Linked DNA regions of Stegostoma tigrinum. The protein of the gene in region 2 binds, or shares a complex with, the protein of the main gene of each other region. Links are inferred from orthologs where the notes say so. Each region holds a gene or a part of one and is shown on either strand. Other genes may lie near its edges.

What was found.
Region 1: meaf6 (region 2) and brd1a share a complex: the UniProt entries of both Homo sapiens proteins name them as parts of the MOZ/MORF complex. The link is inferred for Stegostoma tigrinum from reciprocal best matches to the Homo sapiens genes MEAF6 and BRD1.
Region 3: meaf6 (region 2) and ing3 share a complex: the UniProt entries of both Homo sapiens proteins name them as parts of the nuA4 histone acetyltransferase complex. The link is inferred for Stegostoma tigrinum from reciprocal best matches to the Homo sapiens genes MEAF6 and ING3.
Region 4: meaf6 (region 2) and brd8a share a complex: the UniProt entries of both Homo sapiens proteins name them as parts of the nuA4 histone acetyltransferase complex. The link is inferred for Stegostoma tigrinum from reciprocal best matches to the Homo sapiens genes MEAF6 and BRD8.

What each region holds. Positions count from the first base shown.
Region 1 is NC_081378.1:30,366,625-30,374,816, reverse strand, and holds the start of brd1a (bromodomain-containing protein 1), read right to left. Parts: upstream 3,254-8,192; 5' UTR 2,847-3,253; intron 2,752-2,846; exon of another isoform or gene 2,544-2,751; intron 1-2,543. Other genes in the region: alg12 (dol-P-Man:Man(7)GlcNAc(2)-PP-Dol alpha-1,6-mannosyltransferase), read right to left, coding at 6,990-7,239. UniProt on the Homo sapiens protein: Scaffold subunit of various histone acetyltransferase (HAT) complexes, such as the MOZ/MORF and HBO1 complexes, that acts as a regulator of hematopoiesis.
Region 2 is NC_081377.1:12,577,480-12,585,152, forward strand, and holds the start of meaf6 (chromatin modification-related protein MEAF6), read right to left. Parts: upstream 3,287-7,673; 5' UTR 3,186-3,286; coding exon 3,096-3,185; intron 1,191-3,095; coding exon 1,075-1,190; intron 1-1,074.
Region 3 is NC_081371.1:36,896,130-36,904,442, forward strand, and holds the start of ing3 (inhibitor of growth protein 3), read left to right. Parts: upstream 1-5,039; 5' UTR 5,040-5,279; coding exon 5,280-5,307; intron 5,308-5,430; coding exon 5,431-5,502; intron 5,503-6,390; exon of another isoform or gene 6,391-7,948; intron 7,949-8,313. UniProt on the Homo sapiens protein: Component of the NuA4 histone acetyltransferase (HAT) complex which is involved in transcriptional activation of select genes principally by acetylation of nucleosomal histones H4 and H2A.
Region 4 is NC_081376.1:48,890,299-48,897,769, forward strand, and holds the start of brd8a (bromodomain-containing protein 8), read right to left. Parts: upstream 3,013-7,471; 5' UTR 3,007-3,012; coding exon 2,988-3,006; intron 1-2,987. Other genes in the region: cfap70 (cilia- and flagella-associated protein 70), read left to right, coding at 7,407-7,471. UniProt on the Homo sapiens protein: May act as a coactivator during transcriptional activation by hormone-activated nuclear receptors (NR). Isoform 2 stimulates transcriptional activation by AR/DHTR, ESR1/NR3A1, RXRA/NR2B1 and THRB/ERBA2.

The DNA.
Region 1 (8,192 bases), on a different chromosome or scaffold from region 2:
TATTCCAATTTCATTCCAGTCCAAAACAACTGCTTGTTTCTACCTCTCGCATTATATTCATCTTTTTTTAAAAAACGTACTGCAGCATGAAACCCTCTTTATGCTAATCACATAAGCAAAGTGCAAATGAAACTGATTGCGAATACTGGAACTTTAGATTGGCTGATGTTGTGGCGAGGGAGTCAACCAGTAGAACACTGGAACATTCAGGGCTACAGAGAGCAAAAAAAAATGCACTGATGATTCAAACTAATACTGAAACTTCACAGGTTTTTTTTTGAAGGAGTCTACAATATTATTGCGTCTGAAAAAAAAGCTCTGAAGAACATATTCAGTCAAGCAACTAATTGGACATAAAATACTTGAAAATAAATATTACTAGACACAACCTGGTTGTTTCATTTGGCCTCATTAAAAAGCAAAATCTCACAGCCACACAAGATACATACTTACGAAAATAAAGCAGCAGATTGAATGTTTAGCCTTTGAACAAAACGGAATAGTAATTAATTGTCACACATTTTTAAAAAAAGTATAGTGAAAAGTGGTTAAGTTGCCATTGTCTGGCACCTATATTAATAACAGAAATAATACATTAAAAAATTAAGACAAAGTCCACCATTGTTCAATTCACAACTCATGGACCAGTGAGACAGCCCGAAACGGGACACTGGCAGCAGCAACGGCATGGCTGGGAAGCCCTGAGTGGGACTGCAACAGTAGAAAGGAAAGTCAGACTCAAATTTTTTTTGTCTTATTCTAAGTTAATGTGAATGGTGCCATGCAAGTACAGTGAAGGTGCACACATTTCACTGTTTTTTAACATTGATTTATTTTGAATTATTTATTGTTGCATGCATTCAATCAACTGGCAGAGACTGGGGAGACATTTTTAACGTTCATGTTTGGGTTACAATTGGATGGCACTGATGACCTACCCTTGAAGAGGATTTCGAACATCTAACGTTAGAAACTGCATGAAATTTGGATTTTGTGTCAGAAAACTGACCAGCAATGAAAGATATAAGAGTGACTGCTACAGTATATTGCCTTTAGTTTAGCACTGTTCTACTGCATTGAAGCTATGTATGCAAGTACTTCTATTAGGGTGAATACAATCCATCTGATATATTAGGCAAGAATTCTTTCACAGTTGACTGCAACTTCTTTTAAATACATTTGTTGGAATGATCTAACTTTGAAGATTTCCTTTGCAGATATCTTCTCTTACCACAAAAGATTTTCTAAACTGACTTGGAAAAACAAATGAAACACATGGAATAAGCTTCTTTGGTAGCAATGGAACTCTGAATAAAACCATTAAAATGCTACAAAGAAAATTTATAATGACATCACAACACTGAATTGAGTTTATGTTCATGCTATTACCTAACACAAAGGGTTAGTGCCAAGGACATGTGTAGCTCAAGCTATAACTCCAAAGGTATGCAGTCTAGGTGGACTGGCCATGCTAAATGCCCAGTGTTCAGGGATGTGTAAATTAGGTGGTTTTACAGGGAAAGGGTAGGGGGATAGGTCTAGGTGGGATGCTCTGAGTGTCGGTGTGGACTTGAGACTTAGGGCCAATTTCCACACTGTAGGGATTTTATGAATGCTGAGTAATCACTAAAATGTGAACCTTAAAATCTAAAACAATGGAGCCAAACGAAGGAACATAACAACATTTCATTAAACTTTCAGAAATCAGCAAAGAACATCTATGCATCAGTATAAGGAATAAAACTAGCGTTCATCCAACAAAATTAGACTCAAAATAAATCTCTAAAATGCCATGCCCTTTTCTACACCAAATACCGATTATGTAAGCTTGCCTTCCAAAACGTCGCACTAACAGTCGACATGATTGTTGCAAAATCTGCAGTTAATGAGACTGCTGTGTTGCAAATTAAAACTTCGCTTGAGCAGCTTTCAAGAGAAACTATCATAGAATTGCCAACATCGTGAAAGATTTCACGAAAGATCATCCACAACAGTGAAACTGTTATTCTCCACAATCGGAGAACGATTTATTCTTTTTTAAAAAGTTCAAGGTGGCAGTTAACTTGGGGAGATTCTTGGAAAGGGCGGAATGTTCCCAGCACAGGAATGCAAATAGGTTGGGGGAGGAGGGAAAGAGAATGGACGCGTAAGCGCGAAGATGGGAAAGAAATGAGCGTATCTAACAAGAACAGTGCAAAAGGCCGCTAAACAATAATGGGAGGGGTCAACGAACATTTGGGGTCGACCGAAGTTTTGGTGGACGAACGCGAGATGCGACATAGGTTGTGTACAGACAGAACTTTAAAGTTGAGGGAGAGAAAAGTGAAAGAAAGAAGGCCTGAAGACTGTCACTCACTGGGGCATTTCGGGGCTCTCTCCTTGTGCACAAACCCGGAAGTCGCTCCGGTCCGGACGGGGGTGACGTCAGCGCGTCGGCCCCCGGGCCATTTGAATGGAGCGGCGGCAGCGCCCGGCGCCGGTGGGAGGCAATTGCCACCGCCAACACCCCTCCTCCACAACACACAAATAACTAGCCCCCGGACCCTAGATATACCAACATATCTCAGCTCCTCCCACTTACAACTACGCGCCATCATTCATCTATCCCGCCCGCCTTCTGCGGCACCGACTTTAAATTCACGGAACCGAAGGGCGGAGGAGGGAGGAGAGCTCCAACAAACTCAAATCCCATACACAGTCAGAGAGAGAGAAAAAATAAAATGGCGTCCGACAAAACAAGGAGCAAGAAAGGTACTGGCGGCTTCCCCGCCCCTCGTCCACCTCCCCCCTAATCCCACTCATGTTAACAACTCACTATCCGCCGGCGTTTAAAGGGCAAAACTTACCGCCTATTGCCTCTTTTTTTTGAAAAAGAATTATTATTTCGCCCACCCCCCACCGCTACTCCGCTTCTCTCCCGTTTGGGGTTGTGTTGTGCGTATGTGTACGGCCGTGTTTGTCAGCGGACTGGACTGACGCGCCCTCTCCGTGCAGGCCCCGGCTCCGCTTTCCTCGAGGCCGTTCATCAAACGGACGGACCGTCCACGCTCTCCAGTCGCTGCTCCTGGGCGAATGAAAACACGGTGCCCTCGAGGCCCGCGCGCAGCCGCCTCCTCCTGCTCGCGTTCCACCGCCAACTGTCACCGAACGTGCGAACATTCGACAGGTCCCGTCCCCTCCCCCCACCAACCCCAACGATGGTTTTTTTTCTCTCTCTCTTCCTCCTCCCTTCCCCCACTCTTGTCGCCCTCGCTTCTCAGCTCTTTCCGCTTCTGCAACAACAATGCACCGTTTCGCTGATGCACAACGTCACAGCTTGGGGGCGGGGCTGAACTGTTCTCGCCGGCCGGCTGCCGTGCTGCTTGTCAAAACGCTTCACCGGCGTCTCTGCCAATCAGCGTGCGGAGCGGACGGGACTAGCGTCTTGCCGCCCCACCCCCCTCCGCGAGTGGTCCGCACGGTTAACCTTGTGTTTCAGGGGGGAAACCCCGTGGCTTGGTGGAGTCCGAGGAGGGGGGAGGATGGGTCAAAGACAGAGAATCTCCGCTTTCTGAAAGTGGCCATCCTCTTGGGAGGATGAGGCCCGGTAGCAGTGTAATGTGCGGGCCTCTGTGAACTTGAAACACAGGTTTTGTTAAAATTCAGCGGGTCGGTCAGCTCTGTTTTGTGATGCAGACTGATGACAACAGTGTGAGTTCAGTTCCCTGGATAGTTTTTCTCGTCAACCTGTTCAGAGATGTTATTGACATATCTCTGCAGCAGGTGGAATTTGAATCTGGGTCTCCTGACTTGTAACACCAATACAGCACACCAGCCCGCCTGGAAGGATTCTCCTTCTCAACCTCTTCCCCCTCGCCTGATGTGTGGGTGACTGCACTCGTCCCTCTCTAATGAAAGAGCCGCACTACGGGTCTGGTAGGACTACGGCGAGGTTACTCCCTTTTATGAAATAGATCTGTATTTTTATGTTAAATTGTAGCCTTTATAACCCACTGACTTTAGATTCCAAGGGAGGGGACGCTGCACCCACCAACAGCACTATCAGGTTGAAGCTTTTGGGAGCATGGCTCAGTATGTGAATCAAGAGTCGGGGGGGGGGGGGGGGGTGAAATTAATGCTGAGTTGAGGGAAAGAAAATCATGATCAGCAAAATCCTTCCCATCTTTATCGTTCCCACCTTAAGAAACATAGTTCTGGAGAAACGCATCAGGTCTGGCAGCATCTGTGGAGAAAGAAGCAGCTAATGTTGGAGTCTAGTATGAATCTTCAAAAGAGTTTATTTGATTTGGGATAGCTGTCAATTGGGTAAAGAGGTCTGAAGGTAAACTGACAGTGCAAAAATATCTTGCAACTACATTCTATTGAAAACAAGAACTCAACAAGCAAGACCCATCTGTGCCTTCAACAGGAAATTATTGGATAAAGCAGAGATTTCTAATGTAAAGAACAACAATTATTTCAGTAATGTATGTCTTTTTGTTTTGTGTGGAGAGCAAATATGATAATTAGGGGTGTTTTGGAAATGAGCTGGTTTGTGGAAAAATAGAGTAAACTAGCTAGAAATATAAAGCATGTTGTAAAAGCTTTTACAAATCTATAACATGATGTGGAGGTGCTCTTGGACTGGGTAGGCAAAGTCAGAAGTCACATAATACCAAGTTATAGTCCCAGAGATAGTAGGAACTGCAGATGCTGCAGAATCTGAGATAACAAGGTGTAGAGCTGGATGAACAGAGCAGGCCAAGCAGCATCCCTCTCATGGAGGTTCTAGAGCACTGCTCCCTTGTCAGGTGAAGTCCTGAAGTGACACTACAAGTAATGAACCTGCTCTCTCCAGGAGATTAAGCTTTCATGAAAATAGATCAAGTCTGATTCACAAAGATAGGAAAAAGCCTTTTAAAAATTGGACCCTCACTATTATTTCCCATGATTCTGACAGAATATGTACAGTGAATATAGCAGTGACTGATTTCCATTTCAAGTGATTCCAAGACAAAGAAAAACGTACACTGAAAGTAACATGCTTTTTGTTCCAGTGGGAGAATCATACTGTTTCTGCTTTAGACAAATATGTACTAAACCTTTATAATACTAAGAATATTGTAAAGTTAACTGCAGTAAACTGCAGAGTGGACACGAACAGAGCCATAAATTAGTAGTCGTGGAGGTCAGAAGTATGAACTAGACATTGTAATAAGCCAAATAGTCTTTATAGAAAAAAACCCTTTATTTATGCATGTCTTAGGCACATTTGATGGTGGCTTTAGAGTTGCATATGAAGTTTAAATCCATGTTCCCATATATCAAATTACTAGGAAGAACAATATTTTGATTTAGAATTTATCCAGTACTTTCCTAGAGTGGAGTGAGCTATTACGAGGGGACATAGCTTTAGAGTGAGTGGAGGTAGATACAGAGGAGACGTTAGAGGTACATTCTTCACTCAGTGGTTAGGGCATAGAATGCATTGCCGGAGAGGGTAGTGGAGTCGACTTGGATAGGAGCATTTAAATGGCTATTAGACAGGCGTATGGATGACAGTATAAGGTAGGGGGTGAAGGTCAGATAGAGTTTAGGATTAGGGAAAAAGCTTGGCACAACATCGTGGGCCAAAGGGACTGTACTGTGCTGTTCTATGTTCTAAAACAATCCACTGGTGAAAGTAACCCAAAATCTCTGCAAGCCACATCCAATTTCAACTAGCCTGTTAGAGCCCTAGAGATACACACAGCATGGAAGCAGACCCTTCGGTCCAATTCATCCATGCCAACTAGATATCCTAAATCAACCCAGTCCCATTTGCCAGCATTTGGCCCATATCCATAAGCCTCTTCTATTCATATACCCATCCAAATGCCTTTTAAAATGTTGTAATTGTACCAGCCTCGACTTCCTTTGGCAGCTCATTCCATACATACAACAACCTCTTTGTGAAAGAGTTGCCGTTTAGATACCTTTTAAATTTTTCCCCTCTCACCTTAAACCTGCATCCTCTAGTTTTGGACTCCCCAACCCCAGGGAAAAAGACCATGTCTATTTACTGTATCGATGCCTTTCACGATGTACATTTAAGTTGTCATTGGACAAGTATATGGACGTACATGGAATAGTGTAGGTTAGATGGGCTTGAGATCGGTATGATAGGTCGGCACAACATCGAGGGCTGAAAGGCCTGTACTGTGCTGTAATGTTCTATGTTCTAAAACAACACTTTTCCAAACTCCAGTTTTTGAAAATTTAAAAATAGAAGAATACAATAAATAAAGGAATATCTGACTTCAAATAGGAATAAGTTGTCAGAGATTGAGGCCAGATTTTGCAAACTGGACTTATGCTCCAGTTTCTTCTAGTTTTGGTCTTAGGTTTAAAAACCTTTACGAATAAATGAGTGGACCAAGATGGTCCCAATTATTTAGTCCTAAAAGGACTACGTCAGAAGTTCTTATTACTTCAGATAGCTATACTGAACATTTTTATTGCTTTAACGTTATCTAACATACTAAGTGATTGTAAACATATCAAACTGTATGATATGCAAAACTATATGTATTAGAGCAATGAATAACTATTGTGAAGTTATGTTGTGTAGTAAATGCTGATACTTAGACAGGTAAAGGAGTAGAATTTTATGTGTCATCTTGTAATTTCTGCCCAATCAATAGATGGAAAAATAGGGACTGGCAAAAATCTCAGTAGATTTCTTACCATGTTATTGAAATGTAAAGCTAAAGAAGATATGAGACAGATTTTAAAATAAGGAAGGAAACTGGAAATTCAGCAAAACCAGAAGTAAAATGAACAAGTTAGAATACTTCATGTTAAATAGCAAAATCCTGTCAAAGTTTGTTTTATTTCATAAGTATTCACTCAACACAGCAAATTCACATTTTGTTCAGGCACTCAATGCAGATAGATTCTTGAATAAATAAGAACGAGCAGCATGTTGTCTGCAAGTCTTATTAAAGAATGTTAGAAAAGTTGGCAAATTGTCAACCTTTTCTCATATTCTCATGATGTGTGAATATTTTTTCTAATATAACTAATTTTGTCTCCATTTTAATAGAAAGTGGAGGTAGTTGAGACAAGTTAAATTCAATCCCGCTAAAACCAGAAATATTAAACATTATTCTATGAGTGTTCCTACACTGTGATATATAAATTGGGTTCATTTCCATTAGGTAATGAGTATATGCAATACTTCCAACATTTCCTGGTTTAAGATCTTCCCTCTTATCATACCTGTATATCAAAAGGGAGGAAAATGAAAATGAAAATGAAAATGATCAATCTTTTCACACTAAAACACTAGTTAACACATTTAAGCTACATTTCTTGAATTTCCTTAACAGTGAAAGTTGGAAATTTAATATCTTTTAGTTATGGGCAACATTTCTCTTCCTAGTAAAGTCAGTTAGATCCTATTTATAAGTGGCTGTCATAGAATTCTTACATATTTTCAAACATAACAGATTCTGTTCTGTTCATTCTTCAGAGGTACTTAAATGTGTTAAATATTCATATCATTCCATTTACAACTTACATTCTGAATAACCTTTAGCTCCTACAGAGGTGGTAAACAGGCAGACATGGATCAGTCGGATGTACAGTCACTCAATTTTCCCTTTCTATTTGCTTCAAATTGGATTGAGTGAACAACAGGTAGCCACTCCAAACAACAATTTATTGACTTCCCAAAAGGTGAAAATTGGCTCATTGAATCTTAAATCAGAAGTGGAGCCTACTTGACCTCCTTCACATGTGCCAGATCATTGTCCCATTATTCATATACTTTCTTTCAGACTTATCAAGTTATAAATTTTGCTTATATTCACAATTTATAAAAAAAAGATTTAACTTCTTCCTTTATCCTGTGAAAAAAATGTGCTTCCTGACTTCATTCAGTTGCTTAACTTGAATTTTAAAGATGTCATTTTGTTCTGATTCATCTCACTGGTGAAAATTATTACTCTGTATCCTTTCTTTTTTTATTATTTCCTATTCCTAGATTATATCTCCCCTTGAAATGCTAAATTTGAGGAATTAAAAGTAAAGTTTGTACAACCTATATTCATAATTTAGTTATTTCATATCCAATATCATTCTGGTTATTCTGTGCTGTATTTGATCCAAACGCAGTTACTCTTACCTGGAAAGTGGCATCTAATAATATTCTGACCAAGATTCTGTACAAC
Region 2 (7,673 bases):
ATGTCCTCCATTCCTAACAAAATGCTACCAATAGCTTAAGGCCACCATTACCAAAAATATAAATTCACACAATCCCTTTAATCACAGAGTCAGTAATCTTTGAAGTGTACAACTTTCAATCTTGATATTGGCACTGCCCTGAGAAGAAACTAAGATTCTCCGAGGAGAACTCTCTCACCCTACAACAATCTTCAAACTTCTCAAGAAGGTGGTGAATGCTGCTTGCGTACAATTCTACCTTTTCGTGCCCTCAATTTGTCATTCTTTGACTGTCAGCTCAGGTCGTTAATGTCAGTAAATTGTTAACTTGTGGGGATTTCAACTGATCCTTTTTTTATGGTTTATGTGTGGAAGGAACTGCCAGAGGAAGTGGTGGATACAAGACATTTGGCTAAGTACATGAATATGAAAGAATATGAAAGAAGAAGGGCTAAACGCAGGCAAGTGGGAGTAGTTTAGTTTACGAACATGGTTGGCATGGACTGTTTTCATGTTGTATGACTTTATAACTCTACACAGATGTACGTTCCAGGAACAGTCAGCACACGGTGTTCAGCAAAAGTCCTGGCGTACCACTCCCTGGCCTTCACTCAGAGTTGACAACGCCAACTGTAGGGGTCCCAAGTAATAACACATCTTCAGGTGAGTTAACATGATAGGAATCAGAGACTCATCCAGAGACCACCACAACTCAGCTATGTACTTCAGTGTATGTTTAGGAACAGGTTACTAGAAACCCTATTTAGGTGTATTCATTACTTTTTTTTAATGTACAGAACTGTCTGCATTTATTTTTGAGAATTCTGAAAGTTCAATGTACAACAGTTGGCCTCAGAAAGTAAAATCAAAACTATTTAAATTCACACAACGCAAAATTTTTCATCCATTTGTTTGAAAAGTATGATAAGCAAAATGTCCATTCCAGCAGTAAATTAACAACATTTCAAAAAGCAGACTTTAAAAAGTGAAATAATATTGCCTGTGAATTATACAGGAATGGACTCGAAAATTTGCCAAATTTGTTTCGGTTGAGTCACTTTGACAGCTCTATTAACACAAAGTCAATACACGTACTTCTGATTGGTCAAGTAACGATCCCATCCACGAATGATATTCCCATACATTTGTGTATCTTCCAAATAGCTTCCTTCAAAAGCATAGATCTGACGTTCCAGGTTTGCCAAAGTCTCCTGTGGAAATAAAAGTTACAAAAATATTTATCAAACTGCTGGGGAAGAAAAATGACCTGCTATGAAGATTTGTTGTAATGTTTATTTCAAAGAATTATGAAAAACAGTTGGACAAAGAAAGAGAATGAATGCTTTTTGTTGGGATTCACAACAATTGGAGCTAAACTGGTTAGTTTTGAAAATCAGACACAGGAATTGTGATGTACCATTAGCCAGTATGTGTTATTTGTAATGTAATTACAACCTTTTGAGTTACAAAGAAAATGCTGGAAAAACTCAACAGGTCTACACAGAGAACAGAGTAAACATCTTGAATACAATAGGCCTCTTTAGAATAAACATGTCACCCCAAACTCATAACTTTAACTCTGCTTCTCTGTCCACAGATGCAGCCAGACCTGTTGACTTTCTCCAGCATTTTCAGTGGTTATTTCAGATTTTCAGAATCTACAGTATTTTGCTTTGATTTAAACTTTGTGCTGCCTGTTCATTTGGATTTATTTCTGTGTATAACCAATCATTGCTAATCACTTCGTGCACTAGTTGAATGCATTAGCAGAGTCAAAAGCACAAGTGGCGAGCACATACAAAGCTTGTACTGCACTTTTGTGTACTGGGATTGGAAAAGATGCTAAGAGTCATAGGCAAAGAGCTTCTGACCTCGTGAAGCGTAATGGCATAAGAGAGGAGAAAGAAAGCTTGTGACTTTCAGATGCCTCACAGGACATTCTGGTGAAGGCAGTGGAAAGGTGGTCTGTATCACCAGAGGCCAGGAGGCACCCCATCCCTGCCCCCAGACAAGGTTCAAAAGGTAAGTAGAGGTAGAGATCGATGCAATGAACCAAACTGGTGGTCCTGAATGAGGTGCCAAAGGAAGCTCAACATCCCATGAGTAAACAAGGTCAATGAACATATACTCAGATGCCACATTCGACAAGTGCAACAGGAGCCTCAAATTGCCCAAATCGTCTCACACTGATTTCTCTCTTTTCACATCTATTAATAACGATTCATACCAAATATCTACGGCTTTACCTTGATCTCTGAATGTGGCACTATTACAAGCTGCATACCCATATTTTCCACCTTGCATACTTCACCAATTATGGCAGTCACAGCAAACACACAAAAACATAAACAGGGACCACACAAACCCATCACTGAGAATCCTGCACAGGAAAATAAAAGTTGTTGCAAGTAAAAATCTTTGTCAATGTCCCTCACTCAGCTGCAGATAAACCGACACTTGCATATATTTGTGTCACACCGGATCGCTGTTTCAGAGTTTGCAATCCCAGCAGTTCAGCTCTCCACCCTACTAGATCTGTCGCTGGGGGAGGAAACTGAAATTCCCACTCTGCCCAACAAAGCCTGGGGGAAAAAAAAATAAAGCTCAATGTAGCCTTGAACGGAGAAAGCGGTGGTTCTCTGTGTTGACAAGGCTGGGACACCCCACACATTCTACACTGACCGTAACAACAGTGTAAGCGAGAATAATGTCTCACTGTGCGGCGTGTGACAAGAGGGACATGAGCAACAAATACATGCACACCACTCCTGCAGGTCTGTCCGATATGACACAAGCCCACACCCAGGGTGCCCGCTGTTGATGCCCCAGGGCAGGGACACCAGCTCCAACATCACCCTTTCCTCCCCCCCCCCCACCACCACACACAAGTGGAGGGTCACTGGATAACTCTCCCTATCTCCTAAGTACCAGACCTGGGGCCAACCCCCCCCACCAACCACATGGCCCTGACATCGTCCTCAACCGCCTCCCCGACCCGCTGCGGCCCAGGCTCTCCCCGGCTTTTCCTGCCTGAGCCTCCCCGGCCTCGAGCACTGGCTCCGGTTCCCGCCGAACCCGCTGCTTTCCCCACCCCCATCCATCCGAGGCTCACATACCGCCAGCTCCTGCTTCCTCTTGACCAGCTCAGCCAACTCCCGCCGGGTGTCCGGAATTTGTGGGGTCTGCGCCTTGTTGTGCATCGCCATGTCGGAGCTGGCGAGCAAGCAGCGCCCGGGCTGGGGGGTATAACCGCTTCTTCAGGCCGCGGCCGGCAGGAGGGCGCAGGATGGACCTCCAACCAGTAGGGGGCGCCGCCTGGGCAAGACTGCCACCGGCAGCCCTGACCGGTGAATTACACTGAGGACATTGCCACCGTCAGGGTTGGAGGGTGAATTACACTGAGTACACTGCCACCATCAGGAATGGAGGGTGAATTACACTGAGTACACTGCCACCGGCAGGCCTGACCGGTGAATTACACTGAGGACATTGCCACCGTCAGGGTTGGAGGGTGACTTACACTGAGTACACTGCCACCATCAGGAATGGAGGGTGAATTACACTGAGTACACTGCCACCGGCAGGCCTGACGGGTGAATTACACTGAGGACATTGCCACCGTCAGGGTTGGAGGGTGACTTACACTGAGTACACTGCCACCATCAGGAATGGAGGGTGAATTACACTGAGTACACCGCCACCGTCAGGCCTGAAGGGTGAATTACACTGAGTACACTGCCACCGTCAGGAATAGAGGGTGAATTACACTGAGTACACTGCCACCATCAGGAACGGAGGATGAATTACACAGAATACACTGCCCCATCAGGGCTCGAGGGTGAATTACAGAGTACACTGCCACCGTCAGGACTCGTGAATGCATTACACCCCCCCCCAGGACTGAAGATTGACTTATGCCCAATATATTACCACCCTGAGGACACGACGTGTTTTACACTAACTCAGCCTGACTCTCAGGAGTAGACAAGTTATGCCTAATGCACCACCACCGTCAGGACTGGACAGTGATTTACACTGAATACACTGCCATTCTCAGCCACAGAGTGGTGACTCATGTTCCGGCAAGTATATCTGTTAGCCTCACTGCAGTGTACCTATTCTCTGACTCAATCATGTGCCTTTTTCCCACTGATCCCTTCCCAAAAATTCCAACCACTTGTTATCGCAATTTTCCTGTTTAACCCATTTGGTCCCAGTACGAGACCTGGCAACATCTGTAGCTGCTGCGTCAGTCAGGTGGACCCAGGCTGGGCTCTTGGCGGTGGCAGCAAAGAAAAGTTTGGGCTGATGGAGGCCCTGGCGTCATCGGTGGCAGCTGCATTGGGGAGGCCCAGCAAAGACTTATGGTGGCTGCAGTATCGGTAGAAGCAAGATGGCGCCGCAGAATGGTGGCTCTTGATCTGGCAATGCAGCAACAGCTTGTCTCTCCAGGCCCATGACGGAATTCTTTACAAGGACTGTCAAGTTGAACTTTATTTTTCTGCCTTTATATTCTATGTTTTGTTTTTTTTCTGTGTTTTAAGATGGCGCCAGAGAGCAGCAACGCAATACTACAGTTTTCACTGTATTTTGTAACAGAATACATGTGACAATAAATAAACAAAATAACCAGGACTGGAAAGAGACAGTAGGAACTGCAGATGCTGGAGAATCTGAGATAACAAAGTGTAGAGCTGGATGAACACAGCAGGCCAAGCAGCATCAGAGGAGCAGGAAAGTTTGATGTTTCAGGTCAAAGACCCTTCTTCAGAAACCAGGACTGGAGGGTGTGTTACACACAACACAGTTCCAATTACTGGATTCTTTCTATAATGAAGTAATCAAAACTGCATTCAGTACTCAAATTATGGACTAATGTATGGTTCCAGCATAACGTTCCCATTATTATAGTCCATACATTGAATACTACAGGAAAGCATTTTTTTCACCTTGACAGCTCTGTGAATATTCATTGCAAGGTTTCTTAAGTTCCTCCGAAGAAACTTCGGAGCGTGGGTTCATAATTCCTTGAAAGCAGAATCACAGGTAGATAGGATAGTGAAAAAGACATTTTGTCTGCTTGCCTTTAGTGGTCAGTGCATTGAGTACAGGAGTTGGGAGGTGACATGCGGCTGTACAGGACATTGTTTCAGCCGCTATTGGAATATTGTGTGCAATTCTGGTCCCCCTCCTACAGGAAGGATGTTGTGAAACTTGAAAGGTTTCAGAAAATATTTACAAGAATGTTGCCGGGGTTGGAGGATTTGAGCTGGAGGGAGAGGCTGAATAGACTGGGGTTATATTCCCTGGAGCGTCAGAGGCTGAGCCGTGACCTTATAGAGGTTTATAAAATCATGGGGAGCATGAAGAGGGTAAACAGACATGGTCTTTTCCCTGAGGTGTGGCTGTCTAAAACTAGAAGGCGAGGTTTAAGATGAGGGGGAAAAGATTTAAAAGGGACATGGGGTAACTTTTTAACACAGACCGTGATGGAATGAGCTGCCTGAGGACGTGAAGGCTGGTAGAATTACATTTAAAAGGCTCAAAAACAAAGTTTCTGGAAAAGCTCAGCAGGTCTGGCAGCATGTGTGAAGGAGAAAAGAGTTAACATTTCGGGTCCAGTGACCCTTCCTCAGAACAGTTCTGAGGATGGGTCACCAGACCCGAAACGTTAACTCTGTTTCCTCCTTCACTGATACTGCCAGACCTGCTGAGCTTTTCCAGCATCTTTGTTTTTGTTCCTGATTTACAGCATCCACAGTTATTTCGGTTCTTACATTTAAAAGGCATCTGGATGGCTATACGAATAGGTAGGGTTTAGAGTGATATCAGCGACATGCTGGCAGACAGAACTAGATTTATTTAGGATATCTAGTCGGCATGCACATGTTAGACCGAAGGCTATTTCAATGCTGTCCGTCTCTATGACTATTTCCACTCTACTATTTCTCATTCGTTCATCAGGTATGCATACTGTTACCTTGTTTGACCTCCTCAACAGATCACCTTGCAGTTCTACAGGTTAAATTGCTGTCACAGCTTTTGTATCTACCTGACTTGTCCATTGCTATCTTCCACAGGGCACCTTCGCATTATTGCCAAAATAGGATTGTAAGTTATTGAGGATATTTTTGATGGAATAAATGGACGGCAAGTCTTTGGTTGAGTAGAGATTGGACAGATGAGGAGTTCATCTGAAACAAGAGAACATCACTGGTAAAGGGGGTGAAGAAGAATGGAGACAGGCAATGTTTCAGGGACAGAATAGTATGGTTTTAGACCGAAAGATGGTACTTGAAACCAGGACTCTGAGGTTGCATCCATCAAATTGGGCATTTGAGAAAGAGGTGAAATTAGACTGTTGTCTGAAGTTTTTGCTGAAAGTTTAATTAGGTTAACTTTGGTTTTGTTACTTGTCAGCTAAGTGGTTGGATAACCCAGCAGATGGTGAAGCAATAATGTCGAGTACTATCAACTCACAAATGCAAGCTGGCATCATAGCTACGACTATTGGTACTGCATAGACAAAGGTCAGACAAAAAATTAACTTTGGTGCAAATATATGGGCACAGGGTAATAGCTAATGTCATGTGATGAATTCATACAACAGGACTGGAAACACATCGTAACACGGACTCAAATGCTGGAAGTAAATACTTTCATCGGAGATTGAACCCAAAGGGACAGAAAAACAGTTGGACAGACAATGGAGTGGATAAAGGTCAGCCCAAGGAATGAATAGCTGCTAATGGGGGCTATAATGGCTGATAACAGGTTGTGTGTGGCAGCAGCCCATGTAACGACAAGCCTTGGTGTGTGGGTGTTGGGGTAAGGACATGGAAAAAGATGCAGAAACACCAAAATTGTTGAACTCCACATTAAGTCCAGAAGGTGGCAGAGTTCCAAAAGGGAAACTGAGGTGCTGCCCTTCTACTTGCACTGACTTTCGCTGGAGCACTGCAGCGAGCCCGAGTCAGACATGTTGGCCAGGGAACATGGTGGTGTGTTAAAATGACAGGCATTTGGAAGCTCAGAGTCGTTTTGCTGACAGAATGTAGGTGTTCTGCAAAATGGTCACCCAGACTGAGCTTCGTTTCTCCAATGTAGAGGACACATATTTCCCCTCCTCTCCCTTGACAGCCTTCCATAAGGCCCATTCCCTCCGGGACACCCCAGTCCATTCCTCCTTCCCTCTACACCGCCATGGCACCTTTCCATTCATTGCAAATTGTCAAGCGCCTACCCATTTTACTTACTCCCTCCTCACCATCCAAAGCCCCAAACCCTTGAAGTGAAGCAGTGATATACCAGCACCTCACTGAATTTTGTCTACTGTACTTGCTGCTTACGATGTGGTCTCCTCTCCACCCAACCTTTTCCTAGCTACCATCAGTTCCGCAGAATGTTCACTGGACTCAAAACTGATTAATCTGATTTCTCTCCATAAATTCTGCCAGATCTGCTGAGCGTTTTCATCAATTTCTGTTTTTGTTTCTGATTTCCAACATCCACAGATGGTCAAAGATAACAGTGTGGAGCTGGAGGAACACAGCAGGCCAGGCAGCATCAGAAGAGCAGGAAAGTGCCCATTCCTGAAGAAGGATCCTGACCCGAAATGTCAACTTTCCTACTCCTCTGATGTTGCCAGGCCTGCTGTGTTCCTCCAGATCCACACTGTGTTAACTCAGTTATTT
Region 3 (8,313 bases), on a different chromosome or scaffold from region 2:
CTGAACTGGAAATGACACAGAACACCTCAACAGACCTGACCATATAAATAGCAAACAGAGTAGAAGAACATCACTTCATTGGAGGCTGTGCTGATGATGTTACCTAGCATGATGACAAAACATCTGAACTATAACCAGCCAGCTCGGCTAGCAAGTCAACTACCTCACCCACAACCCAAGCTACAAATCTTTGCAAGAACCTTAAGTTACAATAAACATCTAAGTTGGAATATATTAAGGTAAAGGAAACACAAGTAAATTATTGAGGATAAAGGAAAAGAAGGAAAATAATTTGCATTTATAAAGCTGCACAAAGCGGTATGGTGGCTCAGTGGTCAGCACTACAGCCTCACAGCACCAGGGACCCGGGTTCGATTCCAGCCTCAGGTAACTGTCTGTGTGGAGTTTGCACATTCTCCCTGTGTCTGCGTGGGTTTCCTCCAGGTGCTCTGGTTTCCTCCCACAGTCCAAAGATTTGCAGGCTAGGTGGACTGGCCATGCTAAATTGCACGTAGTATTCAGGGGTGCATTATTGGGGAAACCAAGCGGAGGCTTGGGGACCGCTTTGCAGAACACCTCCGCTCAGTTCGCAACAAACAACTGCACCTCCCAGTCGCAAACCATTTCCACTCCCCCTCCCATTCTCTTGATGACATGTCCATCATGGGCCTCCTGCACTGCCACAATGATGCCACCCGAAGGTTGCAGGAACAGCAACTCATATTCCGCCTGGGAACCCTGCAGCCATATGGTATCAATGTGGACTTCACCAGTTTCAAAATCTCCCCTTCCCCCACTGCATCCCTCAACCAGCCCAGTTCATCCCCTCCCCCCACTGCACCACACAACCAGCCCAGCTCTTCCCCCCCACCCACTGCATCCCAAAACCAGTCCAACCTGTCTCTGCCTCCCTAACCGGTTCTTCCTCTCACCCATCCCTTCCTCCCACCCCAAGCCGCACCCCCAGCTACCTACTAACCTCATCCCACCTCCTTGACCTGTCCGTCTTCCCTGGACTGACCTATCCCCTCCCTACCTCCCCACCCACACCTTCTCCACCTATCTTCTTTACTCTCCATCTTCGGTCCGCCTCCCCCTCTCTCCCTATTTATTCCAGTTCCCTCCCCCCATCCCCCTCTCTGATGAAGGGTCTAGGCCCGAAACGTCAGCTTTTGTGCTCCTGAGATGCTGCTTGGCCTGCTGTGTTCATCCAGCCTCACATTTTGTTGTCTTGGAGTCTCCAGCATCTGCAGTTCCCATTATCTCTGATAGTATTCAGGGGTGTATGGGTTATAGGGGGATGGGTCTGGGTGGGATACATCAAGGGGTGGTGTGGATTTGTTGGGCTGAAGGGCCTGTTTCCACACTGTAGGGAATCTAATCTAATCTTAAAAAAAACCTCAGGAGAGATTAAATCCCACATTATAAAGACAAAATGAAGTATGTTAAAAAAAAATGCACATCGAAATGGCTAAACGATATAAAAGCAAAATACTGAACTTGCTGGAAATCTGAAATTAAAGCAGAAAGTGCTGAAAACATGTTAGTATCATCTGTGCAGAGCAAAAACAAGTTGTTCTGAGTTGATTATGACCCATTTTCAGTCAATGAAAAGTCATATTCCAGTTGGAATGTTTACTATCTTCATAAGAAATACGAAATATTGAAATATATCACATTAACAGATGTGCAGGTGAACATCTGTTTGACGTGGAAAGGGGCAGGTGTAGCACGTGCTTCGCTTGCAGGGAAACGTGCCGTGGATGTTGGAGCTGGAGGCGAGTGTGGAGCGGACAAAGGAGTCATGGAGACAGTGATCCCTCCACAAAGCACGTAAGGGTGGGGAGGGAAAAGTGTCTTTGGTAGTGGGGTCAGATTGCAGATGGTGGAAATGTCGGAGGCTGATGCGTTGGATTTGGAGCTTGGGCCCATGAGGGTACCCATGGCCTTTGTCTGTACACCGCAGTTCATCCCTCTCCCGCTGCAACCCTCTTATACTTTCTTCGGCCCTGAAACTGCTCGACCCTATCCTAAAGCAAACTAATAATTATATCTCCCACTTCCTACAGACAGAGGGTGGCCATGGGTACAGGCATGGGCCCAAGCTATGCCTGCCTCTTTGTAGGGTACATGGAATAATCCCTCTTCCAAAGCTACTATCCCCCATCTCTTCCTCCGTTACATTGATGACAGTTTCAGCACCGCCTCATGTTCCCACGAGGAGCTTGAGCAGTTCATTCACTTCGCTAACACCTTCCACCCCAACCATAAATTTACCTGGACAATCTCTGACACCTCTCTCTCCTTCCTGGACCTCTCTGTCTCCATCTCTGGCATCCAGCTGGAAAGCGATATCCATTTTAAGCCTACCAAATCCCACAACTACCTAGAACATTCCTCCTCTCACCCACCTTCCTGTAAAAAGGCCATCCACTATTCCCAATTCCTTCGCCTCCGCTGCATCTGCTCCTGAGACATTCCACTCCGAAACATCCCAGATGTCCTTTTGTTTTCAAGAACTGCAATTTCCCCTCCACAGTCATTGAAAATGCCCTCGACCATGTCTCCCGCATTTCCCGCAGCTCATCCCTCACACCCCCTATTCGCAATAATAACCAAAACAGAATCGCCCTCGTCCTCACGTACCACCCCACCAACCTCCAAATCCAAAGCATCGTCCTCCGACATTTCCGCATCTGCAATCTGACCCCACTACCAAAGACATTTTTCCCTCCCCACCCTTATCTGCTTTCCAGAGGGATCACTCTCTCCGTGACTCCCTTGTCCACTCCACACTCCCCTCCTACTCCACCAACCCCTGCACTTTTCCCTGCAAGCGAAGCAAGTGCTACACCTGCCCCTATACCGCCCCGCCACCCCCATCCCCAAGGAAGACTTTCCATATCAAGTAGATGGTCACCTGCACATCTGCTGAGGTGGTATACCGCATCCGTTGTTCCCGTTGTGGCCTCCTCTACATCAGGGAAACCAAGCTGAGGCATGGGGACCGTTTTGCGGGACACCTATGCTCAGTTCGCAACAAACAACTGCACCTCCCAGTCACGAACCATTTCAACTGCACCCCCACCACCCCCCCCAACTCCTCGGATGACATGTCCATCCTGGGCCTCCTGCATTTCCACGATGACGCCACCCAAAAGATGCAGGAACAGCATCTCATATTTCACATGGGAACCCTGCAGCCCAATGGTATCAACGTGGACTTCACAAGCTTCAAAATCTCCCCTTCCCCCACTGCATCCCAAAACCAGCCCAGTTCACCCACCTCCTTAACCTGTCCTTCCTCCCACCTCAAGCTCCACCCCCATCTCCTACCCACTAACCTCATCCCGTGTCCTTGACCTGTCCGTCCTCCCTGGACCAACCTATCCCTTCCCAAACTCCCCACCTACACTCACCTTTACTGGCTCTAACCCTGCCTCTCGACCTGTCTGTCTCCTCTCCACCTATCTTCTCCTTTATCCATCTTCTATCCGCCTCCTCCTCTCTCCCTATTTATTTCAGAATCCCCTTCCCCTCTCCCATTTCTGAAGAAGGGTCTCGACAGGAAACGTCAAACTTTCCTGCTCCTCTGATGTTGCTTGGCCTGCTGTGTTCATCCAGCTTCACACGGTGTTACATCAGATTCCCCAGCATTGGCAATTCCTACTATCTCTGAAATATTGAAACATGCTTTTCCCTTAAGTAGTAGGTTTTTGCACCAAGGTCACATTTCACAAATTTTCTAAGTAACTGGTTCAAAATAAGTCATTTATTGAGTAGGAAATGTGAGGTTCGATGACCGTGTCTTTAACCTCCGGTAAATTGAACGGGTTATATGATCTGTTCTGAAATCTGCCAGATGACAAGACAAGGTGACGCGGCTGTTAGAGATTAAATGTAATGAAAGTGGAGATAATTGCACGAATATATTTACAGTGACCGGTAGTTTCCCAAGTCCCTAAAAGATGTAAAGCAAGTCTGGCAGCATCCGTGGAGGGAAAAACGTTCGAGTTCAATATGACACTTCAGAACTCAACTATTGCATCTTGTAGTTCTTAAGACATATACTGGGCTCAAATATTAACTATTTGTGTTTCCAGAGATGCTGCCAGATTTGTTGAGTTTCTCCTGCATTCTCTATTTATTTTAAATTTCCAGCATCCGCAGTATTTTCGCTTTTACAAGATTACGAAAGGACTACTTAAAGAAGCTGTGTAAAGAATTTTTTTTAAAAAAAGTAGTTTCTAGGTCCTATAAAAAGTAAAACGGCATGTTTTACTGGCTACAAAAAAAGTGTTCACTCAATACTGTAGCGTATTTCTTCTGTTTGCCACAGTTAAAAAAATAAAAATGTGAAATCTCGAGTCAACCTTTCAGATATCAATCTGGTACTTCGAATTACTTTTTAGAAGTTGAGTCTTTACGGAGATCGTACCCAAAAAAAACTCTTAAAACACTACATTCATTTCAAGTTCAGCTGAAGAATGATGTGTTATGATCAAGATCAGCAAGGCTAGCAGTTGTAGGTACCCGATTGACTTTTTAAAAGGAGTTGAGCAGGGGACTGAACAAATTAGACATCCCTCTGATCAGAAGCTGCACCAACAGGATGGGGGTCTCTGTTATCTGATGCATCTTCTTGCTTCCGTGCAATGAATCAGTGAATGGAGAGATATTGCTGAGTTGCGTGGAAGTTGAGTACGGGATACATACAAATCAAAGAGAGCATCTTCCAGCCCCGCTCGCTCATGCCGCCGTGTAATCGGAAACGGGTCTTAAATTGTTTAAACCAAACGATCGAAACAATAATCAGAAAATAATAAGTGCACGTCGGAGCCGGCACAACTTGAACAACGAACCCCGCCTCACCCCAAATCATTCGTAGCCTCAATAATCGATCAGGGAGCTCAGGCTTAACTCGACTCAAGAAACACAGAGGCCGACGGCTGCCCGCCTCGAACAGAAAGACCTGGACTACATCTCCCAACATTACCTTGTTGTTGTGGGCGTGCCGAACCAGGAAAAACCGCGCCAACGAAACAGAAGGGCCGCCGGCCCACCAATCGGAGTGCGGAATTTGAGTGCGCGGGGCGGGGAGGGGCGGAGCCGAGGCGCCGGTGTTTTTATCTGCCATTCCCCATTTTTTTTAAACGAACGAGCGGCGCTGGTTTGAGACGCCATATTGGAACCATTTTAGGGGGGAAGGAAAAAAAACAACCATCCCTTTTTTAAAAAAAATCGTCCGGTTTTTTTTACAAAAACCATCCATACTCGAAATGTTGTACTTGGAGGATTACTTGGAAAGTGAGTATTGAGTGTAAGGCAGCGTGTACAGCTGGGATTGTTTCCCCCCCCCCCACCCCGGCAGGGCCGGGCGGAGCGAAGCGAAAAGGCACCATTAATGCTGTTGTTTTCCTCTCTCGACAGTGATCGAACAACTTCCCATGGATCTGCGCGACAGGTTTACGGAAATGAGGGAGATGGACCTACAAGTACAGAGTATGCAGAGCCACGTTAGTCATGTCAGAGGCACACAACTCACCCGTGTTTTTTTTTAAATGCCGGGACACTGCACTGAACATTCTTACAGCCACATTACGATACCCGCGACTTCTCTCCTTCCACCTTACCTCTTTCAGTTTCTTTTCAAAACAAATGCCTCTTGACCCAAAACCTAAATATTCCGCCTTTGCAACATTTGAAAAGATCCAGGAAATAAAAGTTTCAGCCAAAATAAAACCACCTTTAGTTTCAGTTACCGAGTCATTTTTGATAATATTCCGATAATTTGTTATAGTTACTTTTACTTTTTCAGCTCCTTTCCCTCCCTTTTCTGAGATCACTTATCTATTGCCACTCAATTGCAGAGTCATAGCAACGTACACCATAGCAACAGCGTCCATCACTTGGTCCAGCGCTAGGTGGCAACTTCTCTTCCCTTTTTAGCTGCACTTGGATTTCTTTTCCATAAACAATTAATTGTATAGACTTTGCGAATGTTTTCTTAAATTCCTTTAGTGAGACCATTATTGCACTCTGTGGCTCGGTCTGAAAATGTGTTTAAAAAAAACTGATCTCCCCATGCGACATCAGTCTTTGATGTCATTGTAACTGCTGATATCGTAGCAATTTCTCCGTGATAACCTTTAAAATGTTGAATTTCATTAACGTATTTTAAAACTATCTTTACTGTACATTTTCCACTTGTGCACACATATATTGAATAATGAAATACTTTAAAGTGGGGTACGAGAATGGTTTTCTAAGTTTTCAGTTTTTAATATTTGCATTCTTGTGTTATTCTGAATTGAAGTACAGAAATATATTAAAATAATTCATCTCTAGTTTTCTGTAAACATTAATCAATTAAAGTAAATCAAATAGAAATAATGCATTTTAAAATTTATCAGGGCAACCTAACAACTAAAATTAAGTAAAGTTGTTTTTAAAGGAGACTTGGCTTTCAATTATCTTTTATTGCTACAACAGGTACCAACCATAATTTCTCTGCTTCAAAACTTTGATCACCACTGCTTGGATTGGACCATTTTAATTTGATTTTATTTAGCACGTAAATTAGAAGTCTCATTTGAACATTTACACATGTATTAAATAAAAGTTTGTCCCTAGCTATGTTAGAAACTAGATATTCAGATTTATTTGGCAAAAAATATCACAGTAAACTCCTTAAAATGCAGTTATACAGCAAAATGAATTATGGCATTACATTTCAAAAGTAGAGAGTTATTTTGAAGATTTTTCTTTTTGACCAGCTTAATAAATTATATTTATAGCAATCTGCGGTATGTCACTGTGAACGTTTTTCAAATATCTCCATTATTAGTTAATTTCACCCCATTCCACCCGTAATGGAGAGTTTCTGGTGAGACAAAATTGAAATTGATGGCATTTTGTTATTAAAACACATCTACAAACAGTTATTAAGATTCTGACCAAATAAACCTTGTAGACTGCATGCAGTTACAAGCACTCAGCATTTTCAGTAATTTGCTGAGCATTGATATACATGGTTTACTAGGTAAGCATTAGTGAAAGTATCAGCCAAAACTAGGCTAAGAAAATCCATTAAAGTTAGTTGTGGAATTGCCCTTGCAGAGTAAATGCAATTTAAAATTTATCAGGACATTCTAGTAACTAAAAAGAAGTAAAATTGTTTTAGAGGAGACTTGGCTTCAGTTACCTTTATTGCTAGAACAGGTACCAACCATAATTTCTCTGCTTCATAACTTTGATCACCACTGCTTGAATTGAAGCATTTGAATTTGATTTATTTAGCACATTAATTCAAAGTCTCACTTGAACATTTTTATGTGTATTAAATAAAAGTTCATTCCTGGCTATGTTAGAAACTATACAATCAGAAAAAAAATCACAGTCAACTCCTTAAAATGCAGTTATATAGCAAAATGCAACTGATCTGTGTAAAGCTCATTTATCAGGAGCTTATGGAAGTGAAAAAGAAGCTTAAGGCAACAAGAAGACTTAACACTTAAAAATTTGAAATTGATTGTAACAATTTGAGCTACACAGATTTACTGTATATAAGGGCCATGCATTTTTTTATTGTGATCTGTTACAAATTTTAAAAACCAACTAATAGGCTTTTTGGACTATAATTTTTTCAGAATACCGACCTCTTTTTGAAGTTATTTCATTTATTAAGTTATTACGGTGCTATGTTTTCAGTCATTGTTGCTAACAATCCATTCAGTTGTTGATAAAACTTGCTAAGAACTCCGGTTGGTACGTATTCTAAATGTTGCCTTCCTGACAACAAATCTTTGCTACCTCCTGGTGTTTCTGAATTCTTTAAAGATTTACTTCATTTATCATTTAACACAGAATTGAATGCTGCAAATGGAGGATTTTAGTATCTGCAGGAGGACTGAATTGCCTTACTCGTCTATAATTTTCTTTTGATCCTGTTAAGTATCTTTTATACTTATTAAGTTTCTTTTCGGAAGCTCTCAAAACGTAAAGTGCAGGCAAGACAAAAGTGTGAGGAAAGAAATAAACGGTAATTCATATATGTGAAGGAAAACATTAAGAGGGAATATTAATAAAAATTGCACTGCTTTTGAATACAAATCACTATTGATCACAATTCCTAGGAGCCTTTCTATACATTGAAGAAGAAAATGCTTAGTGGCAGTAGGAACACTAAATGAATGCCGCATTACCTACTTGTCTCACATACACTCTATCTTATTTATTTCTAACTGAATCCCAATTGTGTTGACTAACCCTTGGTTGAAGTATTTTTGTGAATATAGTTGATGGATGCAGGGC
Region 4 (7,471 bases), on a different chromosome or scaffold from region 2:
AGCATGTAAACGATGGAACAAATGCCCATTTTGTGGGTAATCATTCTATGGTATTGGATGAGTGAAAAATATTGGTGGGGACGGGGTTTGGGAGGGGCGCAGTATTTTCAGTTAATTCTACATTGGGCTTTCAAAAGAAACATAACATGTACAACAGGTGATATGGGGGAAAAGTAATCAACACCAATTTATATATTCATGAACAGAAACTACAGAGGTAATGATTAATTGCTCGTTACAATAGCAACATTGTCGAGACTCTTAGTTATACATTGTAAATTTATTTTCCTTGATTCTGCCCAGTTTCGAGCAGAAAAATATCTTGTAAAAGTTCCTCTTCAAATCTCTAATTCTTTCTCTTGACGTCTTCCTCTACTGCCATCTATTTATAAGGTTTGCACATTATTTTGTTGTTATTGCAACATGATTCTTTGCATAGCAACAGTACATGCACTCTCCTCTCAATTACATCTGCTGCCTTTGTTCCCATTTCCTTTGCAGATTACGTTAGAAGAAAAATTCAGAAGCGGCTAAGCAGAATAAATAGTCACAAAAATAATTTCACATTTCCAGAAAGTGTGATTAAAAAATAATGGTGCTGTTGGTCTGCCATCATTGATAGCAATAGTTCAACAGTAAATTTGGATAAATCAAGAATCTACAAAAATGATCTACTTAAATCACGTTTTTACAAGAAAACACATGTAACAGCAACTATCATCAGGGACTGGAGCTGGCCTGTTATTTTAGAGTAGGAGGGAGGATTTCTAGACCAGATGTTGTCCTTTTAAGCACCAACTCTTGCTTTTATTTCATCCACTTGTCTATTATCTACTCCTTTGCTGTGACAATGGCATTCCTTGAAGAGAAATGCAAGATTACCAACAGTATTCAGTTATCCTTTTAGATACTACCCTTCATCTATCTCCTGCTGTTCATGCTTATCAAAAGACTTGCACATTTGCAATTATTCTATTTCCATTCATTCTATTTATCACCCTTTTCATTTATGCCCTGCATTTTTTAAAATTCATTTTATTTCTCCACTGAATAATGAAACAAACATGAAACAGGCCTCCTTTTCAGTTTCACCATAATTTGCAGGACCTTTACTTTGCTTTAATACAGGGACTGGTATCAGTATAAGTGATCACTGGGCTCACCATAAAAAAAGTGACCAGGTTCTGTAATGGCAGTTAAGGAAGAACTTAACCTATATGGGGTAATTCAACATTGTTAACTAGCAAGCCACGAAGTGGCACCAGACCGTTACAGAAAAGTTATCTTGGATTCTCCAGCATCTGCGGTTCCCATTATCACAGAAAAATTAAAGTTGCTCATGAAGGTGACTGCATGTGGAGGCTGTGGGATGGGGTCCACTGATTAACACTAATCTCCACCAGAAATTAACAGAGGTCAACATTTTCAGAGAGGCCCTGGCATTTCATACCTGGCCAATGGAGGTTTTAACTTGCTGAGCAAATACTGCAGAAATGAGGTATTCAGAGCTTCTGAAGTACCCTGACACAACAGCAACAAACATCTTAAAATTCACCATTTGGCATTGGAACATCCAGGCCATGATTTCCAGTTTGCCTGTGCTCTTTAACCACCTGAATCACTGTTTGGCCACAGTTGGTACAACCTTAGTTTTTTACATGTAAAAAACTGAGGCAAAAAGCTATGGAAGCTTTAATTGGAAATAAAAGAAGAATATGCTTGAAATGTTCAGAAGGTTAGAGTTAGTTTTAAAGGTTAACTTTTTGGATTCTCTTTCCAGAGACACTGTTGGGCTAATCTGGGTGTCCCAACAACAGTAATTCCTCCAGTTATTTTCTACACAGTAGTAAGTCCTAGGCTAAGTGTATTTTAGTCACAGAGCAAGGGTCTATCTATAAGTATGGTGCTGCTCCACCTGGAAGGTATATTTGAGCACTTGGAGAGTAGGGAGGGAGGTGGGCGGGCAAGTGTTACATCATCTGCAGTTGCAGGGCAAGGTACCACAGAACTATAGGAGGGGTGTTAGTGAAGGGGGAGTGGACAAAGGTGTCTCAGACACCCACACTCGTAGGACATCTACGTTCTGCCCACACAAAACAAAACAAAAAGACCCTGAGCTTCCAGTTGCCTGCCACATTAACGCACCACCCTGTTCACTGGCCAACATCACTGTGTTAGACTTGCTGCAGGGTTCCAGTAAAGTTCAGAGCAAACTGGAAGAACAGTTTTGTCCATCCAAATGCACTTTCCTTTCTTTGGGCTCTATCCCAACTTATGATTTACTCCTTACACCTCTCCCCACCCTATCCTCTGCATACAAACCAACATTTTCCTAGCTGTAAAAACAAAATTGCTGGAAAAGCTCAGCAGGTCCGGCAGCTCAGTTCTGAGGAAGGGTCACCGAGCCAGAAAGGTTAACTCTGGTTTTCTCCTTCTGAGCTTTTCCAGCAACTTCTGTTTTTGCTCCTGATTTACAGCATCCGCAGTTCTTTCGGTTTTTATAAAGGCTCGGGGCAGCTAGCAACATCTATGCAGACAGAGTCAACATTTCAGATCAAGCTACTAAATATTTTCAGCATTTTCTAATAACATTATAAAAGCTTCAGGTGTTTAACATTGCGGAAGGGAAGGCAAGCCAAGAACTCAAGACTGCTCCACACTGCCCACGTTGACAGTTCTTTCATATTCGGACTCCTAAATTGAAAGCTTCTCCTCCTCATCCCGCCAATGAGCCACTCTAACATCCACGAAGCCCCTACCACCAACCTCTCACTCCGTCTCCATTCATTCCTCGCTCTCTCCGCTATTCTACCCATAGCCCTCGTCCCCATTCTTTCTCACTCTCACTTTCCTTTTCCTCCTCCTCCCTGTTCCCGTTCCCCACTTTCTCTACTCACACCTTTCCACTCTATTCCCACCTCCCTTTTTTCCCCTCCACTTCTCCGTCTCTCCCATTCCCACTCTCTCCACGTCGCCAGGTTACTCACTGCCACTACTAGCCGCCATCGTCCCATTAACCACCGCGCGCATTGACCTCTAACCCCGCCCGGAGAAAAGATTAAACCATCACTATCCCACGAGATTTTATAGAAACGCGACCGCTGATTATTAACATTATTACTGAATGTTGAATTTGAGGACATTATCGGTGTTTTCTCCTCCACTGCTAAAATAAAATAAACAAGGGTGAAAGGTCAAGGCTTCTGATGTCACATGCAGAGCACCCATTGGCTGCGCTGTAACCAGGCAACAACGCCGGACCCCGGTGAGCGAAGAGCAGGGAACCTTCTTCCTCACAACCTTCTCCCCCCTCCCCCCCGACCAAAGACCCAGACACCAGCAACACAAACTTCTCTCACCCCCCCACCAACCAAAGACCCAGACACCAGCAACACAACCTTCTCTCACCCCCCCACCAACCAAAGACCCAGACACCAGCAACACAACCTTCTCTCACCCCCCCACCAACCAAAGACCCAGACACCAGCAACACAACCTTCTCTCCCCACCCCCCCCCCAGAAACCCAGACACCAGCAACAAAACCTTCTCTCCCCACCCCCCCCCCCAGAAACCCAGACACCAGCAACAAAACCTTCTCTCCCCACCCCCCCCTCCAGAAACCCAGACAGCAGCAACACAACCTTCTCTGCCCACCCCCCCCCCCCGCAAAGTCCCAGACACCAGCATCACCACCTTCACCCCCCCAACCAAAGACCCAGACACCAGCAACACAACCTTCTCCCCCCCCAACCAAAAGACCCAGACACCAGCAACACAACCTTCTCCCCCCCCAACCAAAAGACCCAGACACCAGCAACACAACCTTCTCTCCCCGCTGCCCCCCCCCCAAAGACCCAGACTTCATCAGATGAAGGGTCTAGGGCCGAAACGTCAGCTTTTGTGCTCCTGAGATGCTGCTTGGCCTGCTGTGTTCATCCAGCTCCACACTTTGTTATCGCTGAATATAAAGTGCTGCTCCTCCATTTTCTGGGTGGTGTCATTGTCACCGTCACCTTGCTGCAGAGTTTCAGTGTTGGTCTCTGCAGATATTTTCTCATCAACCTATTCAAAGGTGTTGAGACAGAGGGGACTCAAAGCAAGGCTCCTCAATCAGAGGTAGGGCCACTGCAACACCCCACATAGAACAGAATAAAATAAGCTTCATTGTCAAATGCTCAAATGAGTAGGGAAAAGTTCATAAGTCACTATTTACAGCACCATCCTAGGTACAAAAGGTACCTCAGTACAGCTTCTTCAGTTACCAGATCTTAGAAAAATAGAGAAATTCAAAGTCCAGCATTGTGCAAATGGAAGTGCAGAACAACAACCTTCCAGCCCAGATTATCCTAGCACTGAGTGTCCAGTCTGCATTGGGCTTCACCTTGAGTTGCTGGAGAGTGGGACATTGCCCTGGAATCACCTGATACCAGGAATCTATGCTCAGGTACGCCAGACCAAGACCACCATATGCCACTGATACATTGCTACGTCACCTCCGTTCAAGCTTGAGGAATAGCACCTCGACTTCTGATTAAACACAATAGTTTACTCAACATTAGGTGTAACAATTCCTGTTAATACATCCTCTTCCATTTTATGCAGTTCCTTTTGCATGAGCCCATCTTAAACGTGATTTTACCTGCAGGCACAGCTGTTCATTATTCTGCCTTTCAAACCCATTTTGACATTTTTAAAATCAACTGTTATCTCCCCCTTTGACAATAGCAAAGTTCAGCAAAGACCGAAGATCCGAAATAGAAACAAAGCGTTGGACAGACTCGGCAGGTCCGGCAGGATGCCTGCAAAGATAAACAAAGTTGATGTATCAAGTCCAATGTGATCCTTGATAATGGGAACTGCAGATGCTGGACAATCCAAGATAACAGAGTGTGGAGCTGGATGAACACAGCAGGCCAAGCAGCATCTCAGGAGCACAAAAGCTGACGTTTCGGGCCTAGACCAATGCTGGCTCTCTGATGAAGGGTCTAGGCCCGAAACGTCAGCTTTTGTGCTCCTGAGATGCTGCTTGGCCTGCTGTGTTCATCCAGCTCCACACTTTGTTATCCAATAGGAAATATTTTGTCACGTAGCCACTGCTTTCGTTCATTAAAAGCATGACTACTTATTTTGTTCCTCCCGCCCCATTCATCTGCACAAATCTATAACATTTCTGACAGCACATGTGGAAAGAAAGCCGAGTTAAAATTTCAAGTCGAGTAACACTTATGCAGAATTAGTAGCGGCTCAAAAATAGATGGAGCTCAGAGGGATAAAGGTAGGCAGTTAAAAGGAGGAAGGAACCCTGATAATGCTTCTCGACCATTCATCCCATTATCAGTTTCTCTCCTGCCTTACTTTCCCAGCTCCACGTGCACTGCCGGCTACACAGCGGCTGCGCACTCCGCCCACACTACTACATCGTTGCTAGTAGCTCCATTCCATTGGCTGCACCTGCCCCAACAACCCGTCGGTCTAGACCCGCCCTTCTCCATCCCATTGGTTGAGCCTGGCTCCCCTTGCATAGTCTGTGGCCTCCACATGCCCCATCATACCGGCTCTAGCCCGTTCCTCTATTCCATTGGCTGCGACTGCCATTTCCCTCCCTTCCATTGGCCCGGACCCGGCACCCTTCCCATTGTCTGCAGCTGCATATTTTCCTCAATCCTATTGGCCCTGGCCCAGTGTTCTATTCCATTGGATGCATCTGCCAATTCCCTGCAACCCATTGGTCTGACGCTTCGCGCCACCCTATTGGCTGAGGTGCCTTCCCTTTCTCTGAGTGGCTCGAGCCTCGGCCCGGTGCGTTCCCATGGCAACAACCCGACGCCAAGCCCGAGACCTGGTTCCACCTGGAGGGTGAGAGGGATGGGAGCACCATGAGGGTGGGGGGGTGGTGAGGAGGACGGGACTTGGGAGAGTGGGTGACTCCGTGGAGGATGAGGAGGTGGAGAGGTTGAGTGCCCCAGTGGGGCGGTGAAGTGTAGAGGATGGGAATGGGGTGAAGGGTGAGAGCATCCGGGAGGGGGAGAGCAAACCACAGGGTGAGAGTGAAAGGGGTAAATGGAGCATTGCCTGAGCTATGTGTGGGTAGAGAGACTGACAGCCTCGGTGTTGGAACCACATTTAGGGAGGGTGGGGGTCAGTCAAAGGGATCTTTTATCAAGCCACCACCCCTCCTCCCAACCTCCCATACCTCCAACCTTCCCCGACCCTTCCCTCTTTCCTTCTCCTCCCCAACACAACCCTTTGTTGCACTCACTGTTAGCACTGAACACAGAAAGATGAGGCAATGCATGGTCTGTCGAATAAGTTGATCTCTACTTTTTTACATGTATCTCAGTACGCTGTTTTTATATAATGTCCTCTAATTTTTATCATGCATTGAACGACATCAGATAGGGATGTGGCGACAGAATGAGAATGACACTGGGCTAGTAATCCAACGGCTCAAGTGAGGGATTAGGACCTGAGTTCGAATTCCATCAAGGTGGTGGAATTTAAATTCCATTACTTGATAAATGTTTGGAATATGAAGCTGGTGACCATGGAAACATTGCTGACTATCATAAAAGCCTATCTGATTCACTCATGTCCTTTAGGACAAAATCTGCCATCCTTTTTACTTAGCCTAATTAAGCCTCCAGACAATATAGCTGACCCTTAAATCATAATCCACATGGTGCAAGAACAATTGGGAATTGCCAGTAATTCCCACATCCAATGAAAAAGTACAAAAAAAGACAAATGAAGTAATGATAACAAAGTGTGAAGCTGGATGAACACAGCAGGCCAAGCAGCATCTCAGGAGCACAAAAGCTGACGTTTCGGGCCTAGACCCTTCATCAGAGAGGAACTGAAATAACATATATGGTTCCTTAGAATTAACATAATACCAAATTCTGTGGTGTTGTTAGGAATAAAACCAATGTACGTTTGGAGAGAGATGACAATTTAATCAGTTGTTTCGGATTAGATTCAAACCTAGGTTGAAGAACTGTACAACAAAGTGTGGAGCTCAATGAACACAGCAGGCCAAGCAGCATCTCAGGAGCACAAAAGCTGACGTTTCGGGCCTAGACCCTTCATCAGAGAGGATCATGAAGGGTCTAGGCCCGAAAAGTCAGCTTTTGTGCTCCTGAGATGCTGCTTGGCCTGCTGTGTTCATCCAGCTCCACACTTTGTTATCTTGGATTTTCCAGCATCTGCAGTTCCCATTATCATTGAAGAACTGTATGTTGGGTTAACCCATTGTGCAATAATATTGAATATTTTTGTTGTAAGCACATTCGTTATAAATTAGTGTGTACATTTGAAATCTGTATCTGCTGTTGGTGATCTTTATTTTTCTGCTTTGTGCTTTACCATAAAAGAGACTGTTGATATAGTCCCATAGGTGGGTATACATATGGAGAACCCTGTAGTCGACTTCAAGACACGCAGTCCAGTGCCTGTGCAGATCACAGTACTAAG